3 linked regions of the Ovis aries genome follow. The protein of the gene in region 2 interacts with the protein of the main gene of each other region in a pairwise test. Links are inferred from orthologs where the notes say so. Each region holds a gene or a part of one and is shown on either strand. Other genes may lie near its edges.

Region 1 (7,514 bases), on a different chromosome or scaffold from region 2:
GTGCAGGTGTGTGCCTGGGGGTTGGGCATCGCCCGTGCGGGTGTGTGTGGGGGGCTGGGCATCGCCTGTGTGCAGGGATGGTGTGATGTTGGAGGGGGCTGGGCAGCGCCCGTGTGCAGGGGTGGTGTGATGTTGGAGGGGCTGGGCACGCCCGTGTGCAGGAGTGGTGTGATGTTGGAGGGGCTGGGCATCGCCCGTGTGCAGGGGTGGTGTGATGTTGGAGGGGCTGGGCATCGCCCGTGTGCAGGGGTGGTGTGATGTTGGAGGGGCTGGGCATCGCCGTGCGGGTGTGTGGGGGCTGGGCATCGCCGTGTGCAGGGGTGGCGTGTGAAGGCCTGTGTGCAGGGATGGTGTGATGTTGGAGGGCTGGGCAGCGCCCGTGTGCAGGTGTGTAGGTGTGTGCCTGGGGGTTGGGCATCGCCCGTGTGCAGGGGTGGTGTGATGTTGGAGGGGGCTGGGCATCGCCCGTGTGCAGGGGTGGTGTGATGTTGGAGGGGGCTGGGCATCGCCCGTGTGCAGGGGTGGTGTGATGTTGGAGGGGGCTGGGCATCGCCCGTGTGCAGGGGTGGTGTGATGTTGGAGGGGGCTGGGCATCGCCCGTGCGGGTGTGTGTGTGGGGCTGGGCATCGCCCGTGTGCAGGGGTGGCGTGTGTGGGGGTGTGCAGTGTGCTGGGGGCCGGGGCCGGCGTGCTCACGCTGGCCCTGTGCTCAGGTCTTCGGGATGCTCTTCACCTGCTGCCTGTACAAGAGCCTGAAGCTGGAGCACTACTGACTGTGTCCGCGGGCGCCGGCCCTCCGTGTGCTGCAGCTTCGCGATGCGCTGACTACTGACACTCCCGAGAGCCCCAGTGCTGCGGTCCAGGCGGCGCCCCTGCCCCTCGCCTACCGGGGAGACTGTCCTGCTGCCTGGCCCCCCCACCGTGCCATCACCGTGCCCTCTGGGGACCCTCAAGCCCCAGAGGCAGCTTCAAGTGCCTTTAGCTACACACCAAAGTCCCAAGGCCTAAGGTCAGCCCCACCTATCTGCTGGGCTGGGGGTTAGCAACAAAGGCCCCCCTCCCACCACTGTCTCTGGGCTGAGATCGGGGCCTTGGGGTGCTCCCTGAGGCCTATGCCAGTTGGGTAGAAATGGGCTGGTGCAGGGGGGCCAGGCAGCAGCAGGTGAGGCGGCCCCAGGTGCCTCCCCCAGACCCCCCGGGTACCGGGCCTCCTCCTCAACCAGGGAAGAGCTGTCTGGGCCGGGCCTCGGCTGCCCCCCTGCTGACCGTCTGCAGCCTGTACTGACTAGGTCACCGCTCCCCCAGAGGCAGGACCCTGAGGGTTATAGTCGCTGCTGTGCTCCACGCCTGGGACTGCTCCTGCTACTTGATAGGTGCTCAATAAACGTCTGTGGGACGGACGGCTGAGCTGACGTCACTGACAAAGGCACTCTGGTCTCCAAGGGCTGTCCTGTCCGCAGAGTGAACAGACCCACCCCCAGGGCCGCAACAGAAGCAGACATGGGGCGGTGTGAGCTGAGAGCCGACGGGGCTCCAGGGGACGGAGGCTGGGCCAGCTGCAGACAGGCCTCGCAGAAGCTCAGCTGTTCCCTGGATGCAGGGCTGGTGATGCGGCTGAGACCCCAGGGAGCGGGTGACTGGACCGCTGCGGTTTCCAAAGGCCTGTCTGGCCACTGCACAGGGACCAGGCATGGGAGGGGGGTCTTGGGAGCGAGTCAGGTGGGGTCTGGCAGGACGTCTGCCGACAGGGCAGGGTGGGGCCAGAGAAGGGTGCTGGGCCTGGTCTCTGCAGAGACCACCCATCAGACGCCTGGGCAGGTGGCCTCAGGAAGGCCGCCTCCCTCCTGCCCTCTAAGCTGCTGGAGGCACCAGGGCCTGCCTGAGCCCCGCCAAAGCAACAGCTTCTGGTTTGAAGCCTCAGCCTAAGCTGGACCGCGATGAGCTGCCCCCCACCCCCGCCCCCGCCAGACAGCTCTCTAGTTGGTTTTCAGGGCAACGCATTTAACGCCTGGGCACTGAGAGCCCATTCAGAACAGATGCCCAGGAGAGCTGCCTCAGGGCACCTCCCACCTGCTGTGGGGTCTCAGGGGTGGAGTGGAGCTGCCTGCCTGCTGTGGGTGGAGCCTGGAAGCTTCTGGCGGCAGCAACCTCAGGATGCGCAGCTGTGACCACAGGGAGCACTCCACTCAGAGCGCAGAAAGTCTGGAGCATTAGATACCGGGGGAGGAAGTGGGGACCTCTGTTCTCGGCTGAAGGGCACCCAGAACAGCGCTGTGGGACGCCGGTGCCCCCACCCCAAGCACTCGTGACATCTGTGTCTTCTGTGGGGCCAAGCGCCCACAGAGGAAGGGAGCCCCGTGCTGAGCACTCCCGTATGGAAGGCCCACCCTCCTCCTGGGCCGTGCGGGCCTCGGGCACCAGGTAGAACCCCAGGAACCGGCGGGGCAGCCCACAAACCCAGACCAACTGTTAGGACTTCCTGGCAGTCCTCAGAAACATTTACTAGACAGTTCTTTCCAGGGAGGAAGACCCACGCCAACAGAGCCGTGGGCGGGCGTGGCTTCCGGCGCCCCACACCCCAGGGGAACAAGCCATGGGTGAGACGCCCCCTGCGGCATCGCGGGCTCACTTCTCCAGGGGAGCGTAGTTGAGCAGCTTCTCGATCAGGTCCACGTGGGCAAGCAGCATGCGGCGGCAGCAGTAGCGCTTCAGGCCCAGCGCGTCCAGGGCGTCCCTGCAGGTGGGGAGAGATCTGGCTGCAGCCTGCTCCTCCCGGCAGACAGAGGGCCTCGCCCGGGGGGAGCAGCCCCCCTCACCTCCCAGAGACACGGCCCCAGTCACCCTCAAAGCCTCCTGTGTGTGGGCACCAGCGTGGCACCCATAAAAGGGGCGGCCGCTTGGGCAGCCCTGGCCTGGGGCATCTCGGGGAGGAGTCTGGGGCAGGCTGCCAGCATTCACTCGCACTGTGGTCATTCCAGCAGCCTCCTCGAAGCCTGGTGCAGATACTACGGCCGTCCGTTGCTTCCCTATCCACCCAACACAGCTACACGGAGAACCTCACCTGCTACCACACTCCAGGTCCCAGAGGTTCACACTTTGATAAGGATGGGGCTGTCCACACAAGGACCAAAGTCAGACTCTTGTCTAGGGTAAACTCAGACAAGTAAGGCGGTAACTGCAGTGCCAAGGGGCAAACACGGAAAAGGGACCCCACAAAAGCCTGATGATGACGGCTATGTGATCAGAAGCTTGTCCTATGTACTAAAAAAGCCCGTGAGTCTGCAAGACACGGTTTGTTGTTCAGCCGCTCGGTCGTGTCCGTGACGCCATGGACTGCAGCTCGCTGAGCTCATGTTCTCCTCTATCTCCCAGAGTTTGCTTGAACTCCTGTCCATTGAGCTGCTGATGCTACCTAACCGCGTCCTCCTCTGCCGCTCCTTTCTCCTTTCGCCTTCCATCTTGCCCAGCATCAGTGTCTTTGAGGACACGGGGTGGGCCTAATAGCAGGGAGAACTTAGGGAGCTGACGGACAGAGGTGGCCAGGGGCCTATCTGCGGTGGAGGCGTGGAGCCAGAATACTCGAGTCCCCAGACACCAGCGCTTGACAACTAGCTCCCCTCGTCTGCCTGAACTGGGGGGTGGGAGACGCTTTCCTGAGAGCAGGTCTGGAGAACAGGGCTGGCAAAGGCTCCGGGAATAAAAGCCTTGCCGGCGTCACCTGGGATCTGATGAACGTCCCTTGCTCCTGACCTGGAGACCAAGACCCCTGACTGCCGCCTCAAGACCCCAACCCCTCAAGCCTGGATCCTCGACAGCCGCCCGAGACGCCGACGCCGCAGGCTAGGCCCCCTTGACCCTGCCCCGGGCCCCGCAGGCCGGGGCCCCCGTGTCCTCGCTCCGAGCCCCGCAGGCTGGGAAACCCTCCCCTTAGGCCGGGCGCCCCTGTCCTCGCCCCGGGCCCCGCAGGCCGGGCCCCCGTCCCGCCGCCCCGGGCCCCGCAGGCTGGGAAACCCTCCCCTTAGGCCGGGCGCCCCTGTCCTCGCCCCGGGCCGCGCAGGCTGGGAAACCCTCCCCGCCCCGGGCCCCGCAGGCCGGCGGCCGGGAGCGCGCCCCTCACCCCTCGGTGTACTCGGCCTGCAGCAGGCCCAGGTAGGCCTCCCACTTGTTGCCGACGATCTTGCCACACGTGAAGCAGCGAACGGGGATGATCATGGCGGCGGCGCGGGAGCTAGAAGCTTCGCGGCCCGGCGGCCCGACGCCCGGATCCCCCGGCGCTTCCGCCCCGGCGTGCCCATGGCGCGCCCATGGCGCGGGGGTGCCGGCCCGGCCCGCCCCGTGCACCTCCCCGCGGCCCCGGCGCCGCCGGCATCCGCCTCCCGCCGCGACGGCGGCTCCTCCGGCGGGCGCGGGCCCGGGGGCCGGGGCCCGGGGGCCGGGGCCGGGGGCGGGGCCCGGCGGGAGCCCCCCGCCCGCGCCTTGGTACGTCCCGGCCTACGGCGTCCGCGCGGGGCCGCAAGGGCTCGGCGGCGGCGTTCGCGTTCCTCGTGCCCGGCCGACCGACTCCGCGCGGCGGGCGCGAGGCAGGTACAGCGCCCCTGCCGGGCCGCGGGCGGAGTGCGGCCGGGCCCGCGCGAACTGGGGCCCCGAGCGCAGAGCGCGAGCCGCGTTTCAGCAACAAGTTGCGAGCCGGGTCTGGGGCGCGGAGAGCGGCCGGAGGGGCCGGGCAGGGGGCGGCCTCTCCGCCTGGGGCCGCTGCCCGCGGGCACTCGGGGGTCTCTGCGCAGAGTCCGAGGGACCCTCGAGGTCGCCGCCTGGCCGGGTCGCCTGCACAGTAACGGTCCCGGCCCGGTAGCTGCCCGTATCCCTGCAGGCGGGCGGCGCGGGGCGACCCAGCCGGTGGGGGCTCCGGCCGTCGCCGCGGTCAGCTTGGCCCCCCCTCCTGCCTTCTTCCCGGGGGAGGCGCTGGCGGCCCAGGCTCCAGTCCGCGCTCGGCAGGGGCGGGCGCCAGTGACCCGGGAGCGCCGGCTCTGAGGGTCGGGAGGGCACTCGGGGTGTCTTTTGAGCTGAGACTTAAAGAGGGAGCCGGACAGACACCCGTCCGTGCGGGACAGAAGCTGTGGGAGCTGGAGGCGGTGGGGGTTTAAAGGGAGCGGGGGGGGGGCGGGGGCGGGGGCTGTGTCTCGGGAAGTGGCGAGAGGTGAGCCCCCTGATCCTGTGACTGGCGGCTGGGAGAGGGCTGTGTGCACTGAGAAGCAAGGAAGGCTCCCTGGAGGAGGCGAGCTTTGGGCTGAGGAGGGTGGGCTAGGCACCTAGGCAGGGTCTCCTCATATTTGCTGGCCTGGGGCGTCAGGGTCTCTGGTTGGGGTGGGGGGTGGGGGTGGGCCCACCATGTTGGGTCCCAGGCTTTAGCTCAGAGTCCACCTGGGGTGGGTGGTGGACTCTGACTGTAAGTCAAGGGGCTGGGAGTGGAGGTCCCAGGGAGGCTGGCCAGCACTTCTGCGTCTGGAGTTTGGCTCTGGCCACCCTCCCCAGCGGGGTTCGCCGTCCCCCACCCTGCCACGTGCGGAGCCACGAGCAGAAGCCACTTCCCTGCCCTGCCTGCCCCCCCTTCCCAAGCTGACTGGACGCACATCCTGTCCCCGGCTGGGATGGGGCCTTGAGTCACAGTGGCCTGGGGTGGACCCAGGCTCAGCTGTAGAGGCAGCTGCGTCTGCAGAGGTGAGGGGGATAGGCGGGAGGCTCTTCTAGAGCGGGGGTGGGTGCGTGCAGGCTTCCTGGGGGAGGGCCCCGTGGTCCACCGCACCTCGTTCTGGCGCAGTGGCTGTTTACTCCCAGAGACTGGGGGGCGGCGGGAGAGCCAAGTGGACATTCCTGGAATTCCGAGAACTGCGTGTGGATTGAGGCGGGGGGGACTCCTCCCTGCAGCTCCCTGGTTTCCCAGGAGGGGATTGCTGAGCAGCGTGGTGGCACAGGCCACCAGCACACGTGTGCTCAGAGGCCCCTTGGGCACTTGGCCTCCGTGCCCACCCCACCCTGGCTCAGGCCTGGCCAGGCTGGACCTGAGGACCCTGGGGGGCCTCACGTCAGCCTTCTCCCCCGCTGGGCCTTCTCCCTCCCTGTGGGTGCTGAGGGGGCAGGCTGGGCATAGTCCAGCTGTCCTCAGGGTGGGCAGGGGCAGAGAGCATCCCAGGGGCCTGGTGCACTCATGGGGGCGCCGGGGTGGCACAGGCCCGTGGTGGGGGCCCTGGGGATGAGCGCAGATGTGGCCCAGACCTCGGGCTTGGCCTGGAGATGGGCAGGGAGAGTGAGGCGCTGGGTTTCCGAGGAGGGGGTTCCTGCCCCCAGGGGCGGGGGCACAGGGCGGGAGGGTGGTGCTCACGTGGTCTGGAACCCGTGCGCCCTACTTCCTGCCAGAGGAGGGTCACTTCAGGGCAGGCGGGGGACAAGGGGAAATCCACGATCAAAGCTTCAGCCGCTGAGACCCTGTGCCCCGGGTGTTGTCCTGGAAACGCCTCCTGAGAGACGGAGCTGCCCAGGAGGCAGCTGACCCTGCGCCCCGTCTTGGACCACAGCGTCTGCCTCCCCTTCTGTGGGTGGGGGGGGGGGCGGAGGCCACGCAGGTGGAGGGGCAGGATCCCAGCGCAGCCCCGAGCGCCCAAGCTCTGGCCGCTCTGGGTAAGCTGTGCTCACACGTGGGGGGCGGTGTGGTGAGCAGGGGGCGTGGATGCCTCGTCAGGGTTTGACGGAGTCGCCCACCTGCTGCACCCTCGGTGACCCTCTGGGCCCTGGGGTCCCTGGCGGTGTTTGCCGGCCAGCTGTGCAACCTCGTGACCCTGTGGATGGGCATGGTCCTTGAGGATGGCCCGCTCGGCCGTGCGTGGGGCTCCCAGAGGGCACTGGTGTGTAGGGGGCAGGCTGGAGTGTCAGTGCCCAGGTGGGGAAGGGAGCTGCCAGGCCCCAGGGTGGCGGGAGGGTCCTGAGGGGAGCCCCTGTCCTCGGGGTTGTCCTCACTGGGCCTGGGGAAGCGCTGGAGGCCTCTGGGTGGCCTCTTCCCGGGGGCACCTCTCCTGGAGGCAGTGTCTTCCAGGCCAGCGGGAGGAGGGCCTGTGGGCCCGGGTGCTTGTGCGCCCCTCCCCCGGGGTCGGGGGCTGAAGCAGCAGCAGGAAGGCCGGCTCCGCAGGCCTGTTTGTGTTGGCGGGGCCTCCTGGCTCCTCGCAGTCGCCTCAGAGCTGGCAACCTGGGGGCCCGGGCTGGGCGGCCGGCTCTGCACCCTGAGGTGCGGGCACGCTCACTGGCTCTGCTGGGGCCCCGCTCACTGGCTCTGCTGGGGCCCGTCTGCCGCAGGCCTCCGAGGCCGCCGGGCCAGCACTGTCAGTGTTTGGGGAGGTCCTTCTCTGAGCTCGGCCTCGGTCTGGCCAGGTAGGTGCCCACGCTCCCCCGAGCTTCCTCCTGCCCCTGCCCTGGGCCCCAGAGGGTCCCAGAGGCCCAGCCTGGGGCTGGCAGGGCTGGGCGAGG
Region 2 (6,395 bases):
CTTAATTTAAAAAAACATCGGGGGGCGCCTCCATACTGTTCTCCATAGCAAATCTACATTCCCACCAATGGCGCACAGGGGTTTCCTTTTCTCCATGCCCTCTCCAACAGCGATGATTTCTTGTCTTTCTGGTAAGAGCCACCCTAACAGGTGTGAGGTGATGTCTCGCTGTGGTTTTGGTCTCCCTGATGATAGTGGTGCTGAGCACTGTTTTCAAGCGCCCGTTGGCCTTTACTATTTGTCTTGTTTTCCAAACCTGGAAAGAAAGCATGCTCACACCAGGGCCCCAATACCAGGATGGCATCGTTCACGTTAATCTCTCTCTTTCTGGAGTCATGTTTCTTGTCTAAAAATCAGTAAATACCAATTCTGATGCACATCAATGTCATGCAACTTAGAGGCAGACATTTCCTTTGATCCAGTTGCTCCCAGAGCTAATGAACTCCACTGAACTAAGCCTTGCGACATCACAGTCTTTAGTCAAGGCAGACCTTCTTGTCACAGAGAATTTCAATCTTCTGCATCACTATAAAACAAGGTGGCGGTCCACAAAACTCGAACAAGATGACTCAGCACAGAAGCTTAGTCCAATATGATTTTATTTAAAAATCTGCACAGCCAAAGGAGGGGTCTGATGTTTTGTTAAAACAATTTTCACAGTATATATTTCAGCCTTTTTTAGCTTTGTGTTGAATAATAACAGAAAAGGAAATTTCTGTTCAAGACCCTCACTCCAGCACAGCACACTTAGCCAGGCGCCCGGGATCGAGTGGCTGGGCGGGTCACCCTGGCCTGAGCTCACAGTGAATCCTCCCCCTCAAGTAGAGCCCTAGTTCTTTCCCAAGCACACAGACTTATTTTCACTGCTCTCCACAGGCCCTGAGAATCCTTAAAGTTGAGAAAAGTGTGAAAGGATTCCGTAACTCATTGCCTGTAACAAACCCAGCTACTGATTAACTGCTGACGATCACAAGTATAAACACTTGAGATGTATAAGATGCTCCACGTTGAATGGAACAACTTAAATTTAAAAAAATTAAGTCAAGTAACATGCTTTCATGTTTTAAAACGTTACTTAATAAAACTTACTGAGACAAGATATACAGCACTTTCTGTATTTGGTATTACAAACTCCTACTGACGATAAGCTACTTGATGGTTGAAAAAAATAAAAAAGAGAAGAAACCGTACGTATTGTTTTATAAACGATGCCTGAAGGAATGTCATGTTGTAAATTCTGTTACTAAGATTAAGCCTGGGGAGAAAAAAAGATCTACAAAAGCAACACCCATGTGCTTTTAAATGGTGAGGTAGACTTTTTCCTATGCAGCAAATGGAAGATAACCGAAAATGCATACAGCTCACAAATCTTCTTTAAAAAAAAAACCGTTCAGGTTATAGTCACTTTCACAAATAAGACATTTATAAACCACGAGGTGGAGAGGTCAAACTCGGGGAAGCTCCACACTTTATGTGTTACTCGGAGATTCGATAATCAATCTTGGATCAATCAACTCTCTCCAAAAAACGGTTATCTGAGGAAAAACAGAAAATATTCAGTTTAGAGACGTCATTTTGAGGTCATATGAATTTTAGTCAGTTAAAAACTTCAATTTCCATTTGTGAAGAATGCTTGAGGACTGGAGGTAATTTGAGTCCCAGTAAATTCAGTTCAACTAGGGTAGAAGGCCTTGTTTACCTAGAACACAGCTAAATTTTATATTAAATATATTTCATCTTCCTTTGATTTAGAGCATGGGCTGGGGCTGGGTGGTACCAGCTGGTTACCAAGGGGTCAGAAGGATTTGCCCAACCAGTCTCTATGGACAAGCAGTCTGCAGACTTCTTGGGAGGCAGATACGGCCCAGAGGGTTATCACTAGATTGCCCATGCCCTTTCATGCAGCTCTATGGTTCTTTTCCTGTGCTGCCTAAAAACAGAGGAGCTATTTCATTTTACCAAGAGAAAGCAAAGCTAACGAAGGCCATGTGGATGAATAATGAGAGCCATCTAGTGTCCAAAAACGTAATTACAGGCCCTACTTCAGGCCTCAGTTTAATAAGGCCTCCCTCCAAGAGGAAAGCCTCCAACATTTAATTTTCCAGTGTAGTTTCCAAGAATACATTTCAACAAAAAAGTGGGACTGCATATATTGCAAATAAAGAAGTACAGGATACGGGGCCAAATCTGCAGAGCCTACCACAGATCCTAAAAATGTGCTTTTGGAGTAAATCCCTGAGTGTCATCTATCCTGAAGACAAAGCAAAACATACAGTCTGGTTAGGGTTTCCACAAGTTTACATTCCAGATAAAACGTGACTGTGCAATAGTAAAACTTCAGAATAATATCATAACATTTCAAATATAAACACCTTAAGAAGCGGTTTCTTAAATATAAATTCTATTCACTTCAATGCTACCATACTCTAACGAGGCAGCCATTCCAGCATCTCTGGAAGTCTGGCTGCCAACAAAGCTCTAAACCATATACTTCCTAAAATGGCAATTTAAGGACTTAAAATCAGAAGACAGATTCATCACTGTGTCATTCTTCAAAAGTATCTGCACTGTTCTACGTCAGAATCACGGTAACTCTTGGGAGGTAGTAGTGACTGTAAGGAGACACAGTGGAGACTTCTGGAGATCCCCCCCCCCCCGCCGCCCCGCAAGGCCGGGATCCTCTCTGATTTTATGCAAGCAGTGCAGGAAGCCGCAGCGTGTCACCCTCCAGACCACCAGCAGCCAGTCAAGCGAATGGACGACCACGCAATCCCAGAAGAGAAGCACGCCTACCCTCTTTTCCTGCGTCACAGCGTACTCCACTACCTCAGCTCCATTTTCGTTGTGATAAACCAAATCAAATTTCCCAGGTTCTTTCATGGCTGAAACCAGACGGTAGGAAGGAGAGACAATAAGTCATTTCCCAGTAGTGAAAAAGTTCCTCTACAGGGAATTCGTATCATTAGAAAAACCACCACAAACAAACTGCCCGTTGATGTGGAGGCTGGTGCACACAGGAAAGCATAGAGTGCTCAGTGACAGGAGATGCTCTGAAGCCTGTGCCGACAGACAGGGGCTTCTCAGGCACTCCCCAGTGACAATCCGCCCTTCCCAGAAAAGAAGTGAGCTGATGCACTAGCAATCCCAGAAGAGAGTGTGTAACCACAAGATAATCCCCAACACCCCCAGAACCGGTTTGTTTCAATAAGAGAAGGCAACGTGAATTCTGCAAAATTCTTATATCTTGCTGCGTCCGCAGACATTGTACATGCTTCCCTGGTAACACAGCAGCCCTCATTTTACATGGTAGGGTGGGGCTCTAGAAATGACCACACAAGCTGAAATCATGCAGAACAATCTTAATCAATGGGGAAACTGATGACTGTCTCACGGTTAAAATGTTTTGTCAAAACATTCAAACCTTTACTGTATAGGGAAATGAAAACACAGTACAACTGCCATTTATGTAGGACACTGACCCAACTTGAAACAGAAGCAATGAGAATCAGTGACAGAACCGTGACTGTTCTGTGTCCACACACACCCAGGTGGTTTGGACAGCGCTCGCCCCCTTGCCATCCAGCCACAGTGCAGAGCGAGGACCTTGCCCACGCCTGGCACAGCCGCCACACTCCTTTCCGTTTGAGTCCACTTTCAGCAAGATATCCTTTGAGGTTTTAACGTTATGAAATAGATCTGAGAGTTTCTTTCTCTCAGTTTTGCTCAGTTTTTTGCTGATGTAATTCCTAGGACATCCTTATTCCTTTCATCATGACCGCTCTCCTCGCTGATGTCAAGAAGTGCACAGGAAGCGCAAAGTCAGCATTTCCACAGTGAGCTCCTTCTTCTGCGAGCTCACTTAAATTCAGTGTGGATGTGACTTTTAGGGCTATCCCTTTCTGTTTCTTTGTCACTCCTTCACTGCTGTTGGCCAAGTCCCTATTCAATTATCCACTTTCGTAAAGCGACACGTGGGTTTATGACTGAGACAAGGAGGCACCACAACCACACCCTGTGCTACGGTGTGGGAACTGAGTAACAGATGCACCGCGGCCAGCGCCAAAACACTCTGAAAGAAGCAGGGTGACTAGTCCCTGGCCATAATGGGCACCTGCTACTGTGCAGTGGTCTGTGTGGGCTGGAGGGCTGGCAGTACTTCACACACTCACTCACAGCTAACAGGGGCCTCCCTGGTGGTCCAGTGGCTAAGACTCCACGCTCGCAATGCAGGGGGCCCAGGTGTGAGCCCTGGTCAGGGAACTAGAACCCACACGCTACAACGGGAGATCTACAACTCAGACCTAGTGCAGTCAAAGAAAGAAACAAATACTTTTAAAAAGGAGAGTTAATATACCAAGGACACTGGAGACTGGTTCTATTGAACAAAACCATGGTAACTTGAATTCATGTATATTAGAACTGTGCAAAGTGAGGACTACCTGTATTTCTGCTACAAGACAGATCAGGTGCTTCTTGATGCTCCCAAAAAGAAAAGTTCTAATTGGATATCATCACTGTCAATCACCTGACAAGAAGTGACCAGGCTGTGTCCACAGAATTTGACCACAGACAAACCTCTGTCCGACATTCCTAAGGAGGATTTCTTCAAATGAAATCTAATTAGAAGAGAGCTGGAAAACCAGTGTAAGGTTTTTTGTTTATGTTTTTTCTGGGTGCCCTCACACCTTGCAGGATCTTAGTTCCCCAACCAGGGATTGAACCTGAGCCCCAGCAGAGAAAGCGTCAGATCCTAACCACTGGACCACCAGGGAATCCCCTGAAAAATCTTTTTGCATGATTCCTGCATACTACAGTCTTAACTCTTTTACTATCTTATTTAAACATGAACAGAAAATTAATTCCTTAGTCTGCTAAAGAAAAAGGGATCGCCTCTAATCTCTGGGCAGGGACCCCTGCAAACACCACCCAAGTTAAGCCATACACAATAAAAGCCCTGTTATTCCAGGGTTTCAGAACCAAAAATGGGTGGGGTGATTCAGGCATAAAGCAGGGAACCATTTAAAATAATGCATGAGAGTGTGGCTACACTTATCTGTTTCAGACTCTTCATTTTCATTTAACACAGAGAAGTATGTTCATTTGCCAGCCTTTTCAAACAGAGCTAGTAGGTCTTATGAGTCACTGACTGGAGCTGTCTTTCTTTTATAAACTTTATCCCTGATGCATATATGCAATTTCCAGGTTTTGAGTTTTGAGGGGTTTTGTTTGGTTTTATTTTCTGGTTATACCACGCAGCATGGAGGATCTTAGTTTTCCCACCAGGGATCAAACCCACACCCTCTGCACTGGGAGCATGGAGTCTTAACCACTGGACCACCAGGAAAAGTCCCGAGGTTTTTTGATTTTTGTCTTTCAAGTGGATGCAAGAATATAAAACTAGCAACACAGTTTAAGTGCAGAATCTTCTCACATTTTTATCAAATTCCTCCCAAACTCTTATAGCTAACCCATCACATATAATTCAAAAGCAAAATTTTCAGCAACGATCCTGAGTTATCATTCAATTTAGGTCTCATAGACGTAACTTTTTTTGCCATCAATTTTCATTAATTGATGTAATTTTATGAAATTACATGGTTACAGTAATAAGAACAACGTGCCTAACAGTTTGGGGAACAACGCCAACAGCTCTCAGCAGACACGCAACCGCACTAGCGGAAGCGCAGCGCGGCCCACCCCAGGCCCTGCGCGCGGACAGAGGCAGCAGAGGGCCCCGTAGCCACGGCGGCCAAGGAGGCCGGCGGCGCCTGCGCTAGAAGCTGTTCACAAGCCCGTGCGGACGTGAAGAGCCTACGCTTTCGAATATCTTTCTAGAAGACTCACCAGGTAAGGATGAAAGAATTTCTATGTCTACTTGCTGGGTCTCCGGGTTATGGCTTAATATTCTTCCTTCCTTTCAAAATAAAAGTCCAAGTCAAAAATCACCATGTGAAATAGGATGAATGTACTAAAACCACTTAGAAATAGTTAAGATGGTGAGTTTTCTGTGAATTTCATTTCAACAAAATTTTTTTAAATGAGTCGACATGTATCTGAAACATGACTCCCACAGCAAGCCCCATTTCTCTGGTCTAAATTATCGCTGGTGCAGGCTCCACACGGCTAGGAACAGCCCCAGAGCCCACAGCCTCTAGTCACCCAAACCAGCCGGCCCTGCAACCCCGAGGAGGCCCGGACGGAAGCTGCTCACCCCTGCCCTGCCTCCCGGCCACAGCCAGACGCTGGCGCCTGGAGGCCTGCCTGGCGTGGCATCTCCTTTCTCTTGGGAAATGTAACTAATAAATTCCTCTCTTCAGTAGCACTGACTCTGCTGTGTTATCGCTCGTCACCTCCATAAATTAAAGTCCCATGGATAGATATTAGACAGGGTCGGG
Region 3 (6,655 bases), on a different chromosome or scaffold from region 2:
CTTCAAGTGTTTCTTCTATTCTTATCTCTCTTTCTTCACCTTGTATTCTCATTATACATATGCTACATCTTTTGAAGTTGGCCCACATTTCTTAGATGTTCTATTACAGTTTTTTGCTGTTATTCCTTTTTCTTTTTTTAAATTTTTTTTTTTTTTGGCATTTCAGTTTGGGAAGTTTATTGACCCAGCTTCAACCTTACTGATTCTCTCTTTGGCCATGTACAGTCTACTAATAAACCTGTCGAAGGCATTATTTATTTATGTTACAATGTTTCTGACTTCTCACTTTTTTCTTTAGATTCTTTCCTAGTGTTTCCATCACTCTACTTACATTACTCATCTGTTCTTCTGACAGTTTATTTTTACATTTGAGCCCTTAACATATTAGTCATAGTAACATTAAATTTCATATCTGGTAATTCTGATATCTGTGTCATAACTGAGTCTGATTCTGATGCTTGCTTTGGCTCTTCACAGTTTCCATCTTCCCACCTTCCCTCCCTTCCCTCCCTTTTCTTTTCTTCCTTCTCCTTTCCCTCTTTCTTTCTTTCTAATGTCTTACAGCTTTTTGTTGAAAGATGTACATGTATTAAGTAACTAGTAGTGAAGTCTAGATGTCATTAGTGTGAGAATTTATGTTAATCTGGCTATAAGTTTGTGTTCAATGTTAGCTGGTACTGTAGTTACCAGAGACTTCAAATTCCTCCAGTGTTCTTGTTATTATCTCTCCTTTTATTTTTGAACTCCCATCTCACTCTTCTGCAGACAGAGTCTACATCTTTCATCTGTAATTCACTGTACTCTGGATCCCTGGTATAGTGGCCAGATGTAGGGGAAAGAAAGAATTTTATATTTCTGTGACTAAATCTTGGTTTAGGCTTGTGGTTCTAGTCTGTGACTGTTACAAATATTTTTCCAATGATATAGATGTTGTTCACTTTTAAAATGTAATGGGAAGGATAGAGAAAGGCACAGTGGGAGAAATGTTCTTTCCCAGCTGGGGAAGGATTTGGTAAAGTCTTTTCCCCTGGAGTTTAGGTCTTCCTGATGGAAAGTGCTCTGAATGCATTTTGCAGTGATTTCTCTTCTATCCCCAGCCCTGCCAGAGCCATAAGGTATTCTCGAATCTTCACAGTGAGAACTTGGTGAGCTGCATGGAACAAGTACTGAACCCCTTAGACTGTGATCTCCAGAATTTCCTCTTATACTAGTCCACACTATCAACAGTTCATCAAAATTACTATTTAAGTGCTCTTATCTGTTGCTTCATCAGCTTCTGCTCCAGGTAAGCAGATCTTCTGTCTCTCTGAATGTGCCTGCATGTCCAGACTGTGGAGCAACAATTAACCCTACAAATTCAGTTTTCTGTTGTTCAACAAAAGTCACTGGTTTTAGTTTATAAAATGTTTTCTTGTCTTAAGGACAGGTTTGATAGCTTCACAACTTTTTACATGTTAGAGCTCTATCTGGAAGTGTTGTTTTTATTACCATTATTCAGAAATTACAATAATGTTGGCATATTGATTTGAGAAAGCTGTTAACATATTTCTCAGTGGTCAAATTGTTTTTTGCATTTAGTGGGACCATTTATTCTTTTATAAGCATTATTTTGAAACTGATTTATGTTTAGAATGACTACCCAGACTGAAAAGAAAAAAAAGTTATAATTTTGTTTGCTGCTCTAGAAGTCAGCTACCTAGTAATCCTATCTCTTAAGCACTGTAGCTGGAAACCAGGAAATAAGAAAAATAGCCCCTGAACAGTTAATCTAAATATCACAAAATGCAGGTGCTAAACTTCTTAAAGTATAATTTTGGTATAAGTAAAACTATATATAATGCCTATAAAAGTTATGAAGCATCATCTTGTAATCATCAACTATGAATCTACCACCTGTCATAAGAGCTAAAGTAATATTAGTAAATGTCACTCAGTCGTGTCCAACTCTTTGCAACCCTGTAGACTGTAGCCTACCAGGTTCCTCCATCCATGGGATTTTCCAGGCAAGAATACTGGAGTTGGTTGCCATTTCCTTCTCCAGGATGTCTTCCCAACCCAGGGATTGAACCCAGGTCTCCCACTTTGTAGGCAGACGCTTTACTCTCTGAGCCGCCGGGAAAGTCATAAGAGCTAGACCATTGCTAATACTTTCAAAGCTATCACCCATCTGTAGGTCTGCTAATCTCCTGGAGATAATTACTCTCTTAATTTTTAACCATATAATACACCCATTCTTGGAAAATTTTTTCTTGCATATATATTCCTAAATAACATAATCTTGAGCATTGTTTGATTTTTAGTTTTAGTAAAATAAGGTAGCATTCTGTATGCAGTCTTCTATATGCAGTCTTCTGGATTTGCTTTTTTTTTTTTTAAATGCACGAATTGCAACTTTATTTTTTACACTTAAAGGGTGACGAGAAACCATTACTAATCCTATCAAAGAAAATCTAACACAACAGCTCAATCAAAAAGTATGGTAAGCATATTTACTCATTAAATACTATTCTTTCTAGAACACAACATGGAAATATCCAGCATGCATGTTTAATCTCAGTACAACAGATTCAAAACCAAGTATACAAGTTACATGCGTCAAGGCTAGATTACAAGTTATCATAGTCATCGTCGTCGTCATCATCGTCATCATGTTTCCTTTTCAATGTGTTTGATGTTTCATTGGCAGTATTTTGTGATGAGACCATGTTAGTGGTAATAAGAATATTTTTGGACCCAATTAATGACGGATTAATTAGAACATTCTGAACAGCTGATGTTGCAGGAATTGATGCTTTTACAGCTGGGGACTGTGAAGTGGGCATCTGTACTGTGAACCTTTGCCCTGTGAGGGACACTGGAGTCCCTACTTTAGTTGAAACAGACATGGCTTGTGGGGTTGGTGTGCCAAGCGTGGGAGTACTTGGTCTGCTAGTAACTGAACCAACGCTTAACCGTGGAACCGTTATTCTTCCTGCAGAAGTAGATGCCTTTTTTTGTAAAGACTTCAGTCTATAATTTGGAGCAGTCAAGCAATACCTATCAGGTGGCAATCTAGGACCTGAGTATGGCTTGATCAATGGCAAAGGGGTTTGATTTCTTTGCCTTGCAATATCTAATAAAAAATCTCTTGGTGGAGGAGAGGTGAAAGACTGGTCAGCACGACACTGGATTGCCAACCGCACATCATCTGCGTCAACAGTAGCTTTCTTAGCATGACTTGAATAAATTTTGGCATCATCTAGAATTGTGGTTACATATCGGAAGGCAAACTCCAACATCTGATTTATAACTCTTGGTTCATATTCTGTAATCCCCATATCCTTCAGGATTTGTGCCATCATCTGTGCATCTTTCGGCATGCTCTTGGGAGAAGCCATCTTGCCAGACTCCATGATATCCGGTGATCAAACTTCTCGAGCTAAATCACCCACATTAACGTATTTCAGTCCTGATCTTGATGCAAGTTCTTTGCCTAATGTAGTTTTTTCAACCCCTGGTGTACCGGTGAGCAGGATGTTCGGAAGCAACATCGCTTTTTTTTTTTTAAATTAGGTTTTTATACACATTCTCTATACCCAGTGGAGGTAATAATGGAGCTAATAATAATTCATTATGCAAAATGGAGGTAATAATACTTCAATATTTCACTGTATTTTTATATATCAGTTAAACATGTTAATATAGGAAATAACTTAGGAAACAGTTCCTAGCATATCGATCATGCTTTTTATCTTTGATAAAGAAAATATTCTTGTATTCATCCGTTTTTACTGCAATATCAGCTCAGTTCAGTCATTCAGTCGTGTCTGACTTTTTGCGACCCCATGGACTTCAGTATGCCAGGATTCCCTGTCCATCACCAACTCCAGGAGCCTACTCAAACTCATGTCCATTGTGTCAGTGATGCCATCCAGCCATCTCATCCTCTGTCATCCTCTTCTCCTCCCACCTTCAATCTTTCTCAGCATCAGGATCTTTTCCAATGAGTCGGCTCTTTGCATCAGGTGGCCAAAGCATTGGAGTTTCAGCATCAGCATCAGTCTATCCAGTGAATATTCCTTTAGGATTGACAGGTGAGATATCCTTGCAGTCCAAGGAACTGCAATATACTGCAATATATATCATATTTTATATACAGTTGTTTCCTCTTATCCACAGTTTTTATTTCCAGAGTTTCACTTACCTGTGGTCAACCACAGTCTGAAAATATCAAACGAGAATTCCAGAAACAAACAATTCACATTTAAATTCTTTGCCATTCCAAGGAATGTGATGAAATCTTTTGCTGTCCTGCTTCATCCCTCTGAGGATCCTTAGTGATTGACATTGTCTGCTCTAGATATCCAGCCATCCACATCATCATGTCTCAGTGATCTGGGATCACATAAAGTGGATATGCCTCCTTTTGAGGTGTCATCAGAAGGTCAATAGTAACCAAATACTACATTGTTGTTATTGTTATTCAGTCGCTAAGTCATGTCTGACTCTTTGCAACCACGTAGACTGCAGGACAACAGGGTTCCCTGTACTTCACTATCTCCCAGAGCTTGTTCAACTCATCTCCATTGAGTAAGTGATGCTATCCAACCATTTCATCCTCTGTCACCTTTTTCTCCTCCGGCCTTCAATCTTTCTCAGCATTAGAGTCTTCTCCAAAGAGTTGGCTCTTCACATCAGGTAGGCAGATTATTGAAGCTTCAGCATCAGTTCAGCTCAGTTCATTCAGTCGCTAAGTCATGTCCAACCCTTTGAGACCCCAAGAATCGCAGCATGCCAGGCCTCCCTGTCCATCACCAAATTCCGGAGTTCACTCAGACTCATGTCCATCGAGTCAGTGATGCCATCCAGCCATCTCATCCTCTGTCGTCCCCTTCTCCTCCTGCCCCCAATCCCTCCCAGAATCAAAGTCTTTTCCAATGAATCAGCTCTTCGCATCAGCTGGCCAAAGGACTGGAGTTTAAGCTTTAGCATCATTCCTTCCAAAGAAATCCCAGGGCTGATCTCCTTCAGAATGGACTGGTTGGATCTCCTTGCAGTCCAAGGGACTCTCAAGAGTCTTCTCCAAAACCACAGTTCAAATGCAACAATTCTTCAGCGCTCAGCCTTCTTCACAGTCCAACTCTCACATCCATACATGACTACTGGAAAAACCATAGCCTTGATGGACCTTAGTCGGCAAAGTAATATATCTGCTTTTGAATATGCTATCTAGGTTGGTCATAACTTTTCTTCCAAGGAGTAAGTGTCTTTTAATTTCATGGCTGCAGTCACCATCTGCAGTAATTTTGAAGCCCCCCAAAATAAAGTCTGACACTGTTTCCACTGTTTCCCATCTATTTCCCATGAAGTGATGGGACCAGATGCCATGATCTTCATTTTCTGAATGTTGAGCTTTAAGCCAACTTTTTCACTCTCCTCTTTCTCTTTCATCAAGAGGCTTTTAGCTCCTCTTCACTTTCTGCCATAAGGGTGGTGTCATTGATATTTCTCCTGGCATTCTTGATTCCAGCTTGTGTTTCTTCCAGTCCAGTGTTTCTCATGATGTACTCTGCAAATAAGTTAAATAAGCAGGGTGACAATACACAGCCTTGATATACTCCTTTTCCTATTTGGAACCAGTCTGTTGTTCCATGTCCAGTTCTAACTGTTGCTTCCTGACCTGCATGCAGATTTCTCAAAAGGCAGCTCAGGTGGTCTGGTATTCCCATCTCTTTCAGAATTTTCAACACTTTATTGTGATCCACACAGTGAAAGGTTTTGGCATAGTCAATAAAGCAGAAATAGATGTTTTTCTGGAAGTCTGTTGCTTTTTCCATGATCCAGCGGATGTTGGCAATTTGATCTCTGGTTCCTCTGCCTTTTCTAAAACCAGCTTGAACATCAGGAAGTCCACAGTTCACGTATTGCTGAAGCCTGGCTTGGAGAATTTTGAGCATTTCTTTACTAGCGTGTGAGATGAGTGCAATCTTGTGGTAGTTTGAGCATTCTTTGGCATTGCCTTTCCTTTGCAATTGGAATGAAAACTGACCTTTTCCAGTCCTGTGGCCACTGCTGAGTTTTCCAAATTTGCTGGCATATTGAGTGTAGCACTTTCCCAGCATCGTCTTTCAGGATTTGAACTAGCTCAACTGGAATTCGATCACCTCCACTAGCTTTGTTCATAGTGATGCTTTCTAAGGCCCACTTGACTTCACATTCCAGGATGTCTGGCTCTAGATGAGTGATCACACCATCGTGATTATCTGGGTCGTGAAGATCTTTTTTGTGCAGTTCTTCAGTGTATTCTTGCCACCTCTTCTTAATATCTTCTGCTTCTGTTAGGTCCAGACCATTTCTGTCCTTTATCGAGCCCATCTTTGCATGAAATGTTCCCTTGGTATCTCTAGTTTTCTTGAAGAGATCTCTAGTCTTTCCCATTATGTTGTTTTCCTCTATTTCTTTGCATTGATCACTGAAGAAGGCTTTCTTATCTCTTCTTGCTATTCTTTGGAACTCTGCATTCATATGCTTATATCTTTCCTTTTCTCCTTTGCTTTTCGCCTCTCTCCTTTTCACAGCTATTTGTAAGGCCTCCTCAGAGAGCCATTTTGCTTTTTGACATTTCTTTTCCATGGGGATGGTCCTGATCCAATCTCCTGTACAATGTCACAAACCT

Evidence for each region. The genes of interacting proteins can lie anywhere in the genome.
Region 1: the proteins of COIL (region 2) and POLR2L interact in binary tests that used the Homo sapiens proteins (3 or more experiments, as listed by UniProt). The two-hybrid records come from large-scale screens. The link is inferred for Ovis aries from reciprocal best matches to the Homo sapiens genes COIL and POLR2L.
Region 3: the proteins of COIL (region 2) and transcription initiation factor TFIID subunit 9-like interact in a two-hybrid assay, tested with the Homo sapiens proteins (2 studies listed by BioGRID and IntAct). The link is inferred for Ovis aries from reciprocal best matches to the Homo sapiens genes COIL and TAF9.

The regions. Positions count from the first base shown.
Region 1 is NC_056074.1:46,913,049-46,920,562, reverse strand, and holds POLR2L (DNA-directed RNA polymerases I, II, and III subunit RPABC5), read right to left. Parts: upstream 4,246-7,514; 5' UTR 4,212-4,245; coding exon 4,117-4,211; intron 2,734-4,116; coding exon 2,625-2,733; 3' UTR 2,476-2,624; downstream 1-2,475. Other genes in the region: CD151 antigen, read left to right, coding at 713-772. UniProt on the Homo sapiens protein: DNA-dependent RNA polymerase catalyzes the transcription of DNA into RNA using the four ribonucleoside triphosphates as substrates.
Region 2 is NC_056064.1:7,466,587-7,472,981, forward strand, and holds the end of COIL (coilin), read right to left. Parts: intron 5,915-6,395; coding exon 5,845-5,914; intron 2,883-5,844; coding exon 2,584-2,882; 3' UTR 1,536-2,583; coding exon of another isoform or gene 1,470-1,535; 3' UTR 583-1,469; downstream 1-582. UniProt on the Homo sapiens protein: Component of nuclear coiled bodies, also known as Cajal bodies or CBs, which are involved in the modification and assembly of nucleoplasmic snRNPs.
Region 3 is NC_056065.1:58,197,013-58,203,667, reverse strand, and holds transcription initiation factor TFIID subunit 9-like, read right to left. Parts: upstream 3,531-6,655; 5' UTR 3,393-3,530; coding exon 2,607-3,392; 3' UTR 2,476-2,606; downstream 1-2,475. UniProt on the Homo sapiens protein: The TFIID basal transcription factor complex plays a major role in the initiation of RNA polymerase II (Pol II)-dependent transcription.